Linked DNA regions of Bombyx mori. The protein of the gene in region 2 interacts with the protein of the main gene of each other region in a biochemical or structural test. Links are inferred from orthologs where the notes say so. Each region holds a gene or a part of one and is shown on either strand. Other genes may lie near its edges.

Region 1 (2,888 bases), on a different chromosome or scaffold from region 2:
GTCGGTTCGATTCCGACATGCCCCGCCCATCCCCAGTGGAGAGCGGAAGTCCGTCGATTTCCTTCTGACTATAAAAAACCCTTTTTAAACTTTGTAGCTAAAATATTTTTTAGGACGATCGACTCAAAATCATTCAATCTTTCTGTGGGACACCACGTACAACTTTAAACATTTCATACTGCGATGGGTCTTTCACCCGTGATCGCTAGTTGACATTATAAATCAACATAATTTGGCTAATCACGTCATATTCACACACGCAATTAAATTCATGCACGAGATTATCATTCAAACCGAAAACAAATTGCAATTTCGTTTGTTACCCATGAACAACCAATTGTAAGTAGGTACATAACAGACAAAAGGATATAAATATAATTAAATAAATTTTATATGAACAGAAATATTTAAAATTTCTCTTATCCAATCTTCACGAATTCTGTGGGTTTAATAAATAATAAACACGTTAATAAACACGGTGTTTAAAAAACAAAGCAGCCGGACAGCTCTACTCCTAATAAAATAAACAACAACGATATTGAAATTTAATTTCATTTTATTAATCTCACAATTATTTAAAAAATGATGTTATAGATTTACAAGGCAATTTGGATTTATGAACGGGCGACTTTCTTTTTCTTTTCTCGCCACTTCCTATTTTCACCGTAACCTTCTTGTTGAGCTCTCGACTAATTCTCTGAGCCTCGTGGAAGTCCAGATGTTCGGAAAACTTATCTAACTGCACTTTTCTCCCACACTCGGAACACGTTTCCGTCGGTACGTTTTCGTTGATTTTGACGAAAAAATTTGCTATTGTATTTTCAGTTTTATTAATATCGTCCGGAGGTTTCTTTTTCTTTTTATCTTCAACAGGAATTCGCGCTTCAAACTGATCTCGCTCTAGTCGAATCGTTTGCCTCTCTTCGTCTCTTAGGTTCAAAGCGAGATGATAGTCGGCGTGGGTTCCTAGATCTCCGACGGGTACGGCTTTACCGCATTCAGGACAACTGTAGTTCTCCTCACCCCTCACAGACTGACCGGCGACGTCAATGCCGGCTGTCCCAATTTCTACTTCAACATTAGATTTGAGCAATTCCCTAGTCCTGGCCACACGTTGGACGTCCTGAGGATCTTCATCGAACAGCGCAATACTTTTATTGATTTCATCGTTAATGGTCGATCGTGAATAATCCGACTGGTCACTGTCTTCGCCACGCTCGATGACGTCACAGACCGGCGTGCACGGTTTGATTACTGTGTCACTCTTTGAATTCAGTACATTTCTATTTTCCTTAAACTTATCGTTTAGAATTTTAGCAAAGAACGATTCTTGTCTGTCTAAGCTGGTCTCTAGTACGGAGTCACATTTCGCCTTATATTCTGCTGAGGGCGCAGTTTGTTCTTCAATTATATTGGCTTCCGTCTTTATGTTGGATTCTTTAAAGAATTTATTTATTATGTAACTTTTGTCTGCAGTTTTTTTTCCTTTCGATTCTAGCGTCTTCGCTTTGCAATGGTTAGTTCCCAGCGGCGCGGTCGTACACAGCTCCTCGGACTTTAATGAAGATACTTTATTGTCTTTGTTCGTAATGTCCTTAGAAGCTCCAGTTTCGAAGTAATCCCTGATCTTCTTTGATTTCTTCGTTTCAGAATTATCTTCGAACTTACCTACGCTTATTCCCAAAAAAACTATGGGCGCTTTCAGTTTCCTGTTGTCTTCAACATCTTTAATACAAATTATATTAATTAATTTTTTAAATTCACCCATAATCTCCGGGTGAAATGTTAATTTTCTGCGATAATTGGATGGACAAACTCAAGGTGTACCCGGTGCTAAGTGGTTACCAGAATCCATAGACATCATAGTGACACATGAGGTCGAAGTATCAGATCGACTTACATGAATGTACCCGTCTCAGGTTGGCCGCCCGCTGCAATGCAGTAACAGTCAGGATGGCTGTTTTTTTTATTGCTTAAATGGGTGGAGCAGCTGAGGACCAGACGAGATGGAAACAGCTCACGAGACAGGCAACGGTCAAGTTTCAGGGACACGACCTTCAGCAATGAAAAAAGCGACGAAGAAGAAGAAGAAGATGGGTGGACGAGCTCACAGCCCACATGGTATTAAGTGGTTACTGGAGCCCATAGACATCTGCAACGTAAATGCGCCACCCATCCTGAGATAAGTTCTAAAGTCTCAAGTATACTCTGAGTTACAACGGCTGCCCCACCCTCCAAACCGAAATGCATTACTGCTTCACGGCAGAAATAGGCAGGGCGGTGGTACCCACCCGCGCGGACTCACAAGAGGTCCTACCACCAGTAATCTGTCAGTGTCTGGCAGTGACCACGCAACTATATGATTCCGATGACCCGTTCCTATAGGCACAGCTCATTAAGTTTCTTATCGGATCATCTCAGTGGGTCGCGATTCCTATTATGTGGTAGATTCTGTGGTGCATTCCTCTTGCTAGGATAGCTAGCTAGCAAATTCTCTCAACCTGAGCCCCTGAACTCGCTCACCCGTCCGCACGTAGCTGGAATAGCACCTTAGGCTACCAGTGAATAGGTAGAGGAAAAGATCATCAGTTTTTTTTACTGTGTGTATGTATTTAAGTTCCAAACGTCTGCTGACTTATAACCACAGACTATTTGCTCTATAAGCCCTATATGTCGTTACATTACATTATTGTTACCTCTGCGAGGGGAGTGTTTTTTTTTATTGCTTAGATGAGTGGACGAGCTCACAGCCCACCTAGTGTTAAGTGGTTACTGGAGCCCATGGACATCTACATCGTAAATGCGCCACCCACCTTGAGATATATAGGTTCTAAGATCTCAGTATATTTACAACGGGTAACGAGTATAGTTGATCGATGGTGCCTCAT
Region 2 (4,291 bases):
TACAGTTTTGAAACTATCCTCCAATCCTATGCTCTGAGGTTTTCCACTTTGCTTTACTGGAGTATTATCCTCTCCTAAACTTAAACTTTTCAATCTAACAGCCATATCACTGCTGAAATGTTTTTTCAGAATCTCTAAAGGAGCTTCTTGTAAGTCACTGACCGATATTATCTTCTGAGAAATTAATGCTTCCATTGTTTTGGAGCCAATACTTGGAATGGACCGGACACTGGTCAGAGTAGACATGTAATTGGCTCCATGTTGAGGAAATATTGTGGTCTGGTTGTTAGGTTTATGCAGGGGACAAATTAGTTTAGCCAACAACTTGTTATGAGCTATTCCGGCACAAGTTGTGTAACCCAACTCATCATAAATTTTCTTCCTCATTTCATTTGCAATTTGTGATGCTATTTTTAGTCTGTTGTGACAACCACATGGACATTCAGCACTCGGTTCACTATATAGCTGGCCCATAACTATGAGATCATTTAAGTTTGCATTTTTTAATTTTTCCTCCACAAGACTTGTCACATCAATGAAATTTTCATCCATTCCAAGTTTTTCAACGGGACACCGCCAACCTTGCAACACTAAAAACACCTTGCCTGATGCAGTTCTGTAACTATGTAAATCTTCACCATTTACAAGTTTCAAATTTGGACAAACCTTAAGTGCGTCAGTAACGAGCATACATTTACTAACTCCGTAGTTCCTTGCCTCGTAATTACTCGTCACTACAATGTTCTTCTGTTGGATACCGAGCGGTACATCACGGAGTTCGGGGTTTCGCACCATTTCCACTTGCGCGTAGAAACAATCTAAATCAATATGTATAATGCTCTTGAAATGTTCACCATCAATCTCGTTACAAGTGGAACAGCTCGATTCCATGTTTCTGTAATGTTAAAAGACATTTCACTCAGGATTTACTTTGTTCTAGTGCTGTTTTAGTAGTTGTATTATGTTGTGACGAGAGATTGACAAAGAACTTGCCTGTCGTCCATGTTCGTATCATTGAAAGCTGTAATAAGTTTTGCTTTCTTTAATTTGTATATTTATGTTATTTAATAATTGTTTTCTTTCATCAAATTTACAAAATAGTGAAACTAACAATCGGGCAATCGCGACACATCAACAGACTTAGTGTTGCAACATGCAAATATTTATATGAAATAATACGTCAAGTTTACATTTAATTTGTCTCGTTATCGACTAAACTTCTCAGAAAATTTTATCATAAATAAAACTATGGTCAGCCGGCACTTAGTGACTTCCATGGAGTTAATAAGTACCTACAACTGGAGTGCTGTCTAATGCCGAGAAATCGGTCTCGAAAGAGAATACTTTTTGGTCGCGGTGTCCTTGTCTAATGTGGTGACCATATAAAATTTATTTATAGGACAAAATTATACACATGCATCAGTTTTGAATTTACCTTAAGTAATTCTGTGTAACCCTATGTAAATACAAAACACGTGCTTGCAACGTTTTATTTATGTAAATTCAATTCTAAACATTGCTTCGTCGTCATGGTGACTTTTTTTCGACGATTTTTTTTGGAAATTGCTGCGTTGTCGAAAATCTAGCACTGAGTTTTATTACAAACATCATTACCTCAGTTCTATTACTTAAACTTCCTCAAACTCATGTTTAACGTCCGAATACTCAACCGCGACTTAAATATTATGTTGAACTTAATTACGCAATTCCTACTTTAATGTACTGGCTAAGTGGGCCGTGCAAATTAATATTTGACACACTGAGTGAGACACTGCAACACACATGGTCTGCGCGTATCGGGTGGTCTTTTCCTACATTCACATCTTAAATTGATTTAAAATTGCTTCTATTTTTACTTCTGTGCTATTTTCATGACACGTGTATATTAAGTCTACTAGTTACATTTTAGGAAATAAAACACAATGGGTAATAAATTGAAATGAACTGAAATTCATTTATTTGTTATATGTAGACAATTAAATAACTCTTAAATGACAAGTCAATACACATAACACAATACACATAGTACTTGATCTCTATTTACAAAATATTGGTTATATTATTATTATTAAGTTCAGTTAATTTTCTGTAGTCTTTTAATATAACATTTCCTCTATTTTAAGTGAATTCATTTTTTTCAATGAAATACATAATTTATTTTAATCAATATCTAAGTGGACCATGAGTATCATTAAAATGTCGCAATTTAAATTTCAATTCAATTAAAAATCGCCATTTTTCTTTAATAAATCTAAAATCGACTTTATATTTACAATCACTATTTCGCGACTTTTAAGTTTTTGTTTCAATACCTTATCATCTTGTCGTAATTTTGCTTTTCTCGAGGTATTTTTTATTTCTTGCGTTTGAGTACTTGATTCTTCTTGTTGGACCTTTATATAGGACATCTTCCAGAAATTCCAACGTCATATTTACTAGAAGATCCTCCTCGTTCGCTTAACGTCAGGCAAATGATATACATGCTTGCGTGCGACGCTATTCAATACAATAAAAAAAGTTCAAAAAATACCACGTGATGGCTCTTATAATATGAAAAATACATTGCAAAATTATAGTTTTCACGATTGTTTTTTCAAATTTAGTATATGACATAGATTAAGTACAATTTACAAGACAAATGGTATGAAATATTATAATGAGAAAAAATATCTCACAGTTTAAAAATATATGCTCACACTAGTAAAAATTTATCAATGAATCTGACATATGGAAGGATATTCCACAAACTGGAGAGGATTCTCGCTTAAAACCACTTACATTAAAAGTGCTCACCATGATTACACGGAAACTTTCACGATTTTCGAAAAAAAACAAGCCACAAGCTGTATCAGTGCCATTTTAACTTCGCACTAAAACGTAAATAGACGCCATTTTTCTTTTAATCCATTCATAGCTCTTTTTCGGTGATGCCAACAATTAATCTGGCTTCCCACCAAATTCAACATGAAAACCATCAGAAATCTACGTACCTACCATTAAATTTTTCATTAAACAGAGTTCTTATTAATATAGAACAAAAATTTTTTTGTTAATAAGCTTTATTAATATATGATGTTCTATTAAAAATCAATACTTCTTATATAATTTATTTTAATAAATTGTCATAATCAGAAACTAATTTCACCATAACTTTGTATGTTTATTTTGAACAAATTTAATTTTTGACGTTGATGGAAATTCTAAATTGTCGCAAAATTTTCTAGTTAAGTTTAAGTCACATCGTTTAAATAATATGTATTTAGACATATTATTGTCATAAAATGTTTAAAATCCTGTAAAGTGGATTGATTTTAACCTTTTCGATAATTTTCTACAACGCCCAAGCTACTAAAAAATCCACTAACCACTAAAAGCCATTTTTGATAACTAAGACGGGGGTCCGAATTCCGAGATTTTATGGAAAATCCTCTAAGCTAGCAACACTGCTTTTTGTTTGTAAAATGTGCGAGAGGGACACCACCACTTAATAATCATTCTCTTTTCAGACCGTTTTTCCTTACATCTTTTGCTATTTAAAAATAAACTTTAAAGCATAGAGATAAAGTATATTTTTAGTTTTTATGTCAAACGAAGTAAGCACTCCAGTTAGAATAGTAACTCTATGGTGACTTCAAATTATAATTAATGAATAGTAAAATAGCTTTGGACTCTGTGGTCAGCTCTAGTGCGAATATCACGTGGTTATCATCGCGGTCTATTAAATATTATTCTTGCATGTTATTTGTAAATATTTCCTTATTTGTGAGTGTTTAACATTTATTTATTTAGTTTAGTTTATGTTTCTCGGTGTTGGTAAGTAGTTTTATATTCTTTAAATATCATTTTTTCTTACTTATTATAAATTAATTCTTTTTTATGGTGTACCCTCACTTATAAAATGTAATATGAATTCTGACAAAAATAAACCTCCCGATCCGGGGATACCAGAACATGATTCTGAATCCCGGGATAGTGAATCCCTAGGATCTCCAAGTTTTTCAACATTGACAGCTCCTTCCATTCGGTCAAGTTCTTCCTCACCTATTCCTGACGTCGAGCTATTACCAAATGAAGCCTCATCGCGGAAAAGAGGCCCAATCGCAGATGATCAGTCCATTAGACACAAAATAACTAGGATTGAAAATTCGACAAAATCATCGAAAAATAATCAACCTTCGACCCCGGCATACACTCGTAAATACCTATCATCAGATTTGGGACCTTTTGCAGTACATGTTTCTAAGATTGAAAGTGACCCCTCTTCAGGAGTATCAATCCACCCTGTAAAATT

Evidence for each region.
Region 1: the proteins of DNA polymerase iota (region 2) and DNA polymerase eta interact in far-western blotting, tested with the Homo sapiens proteins (2 studies listed by BioGRID). The link is inferred for Bombyx mori from reciprocal best matches to the Homo sapiens genes POLI and POLH.

What each region holds. Positions count from the first base shown.
Region 1 is NC_085116.1:15,897,275-15,900,162, forward strand, and holds the end of DNA polymerase eta, read right to left. Parts: intron 1,726-2,888; coding exon 572-1,725; 3' UTR 539-571; downstream 1-538. UniProt on the Homo sapiens protein: DNA polymerase specifically involved in the DNA repair by translesion synthesis (TLS). Due to low processivity on both damaged and normal DNA, cooperates with the heterotetrameric (REV3L, REV7, POLD2 and POLD3) POLZ complex for complete bypass of DNA lesions.
Region 2 is NC_085131.1:9,772,624-9,776,914, forward strand, and holds the start of DNA polymerase iota, read right to left. Parts: upstream 3,011-4,291; 5' UTR 1,005-3,010; coding exon 994-1,004; intron 896-993; coding exon 1-895. UniProt on the Homo sapiens protein: Error-prone DNA polymerase specifically involved in DNA repair. Plays an important role in translesion synthesis, where the normal high-fidelity DNA polymerases cannot proceed and DNA synthesis stalls. Favors Hoogsteen base-pairing in the active site.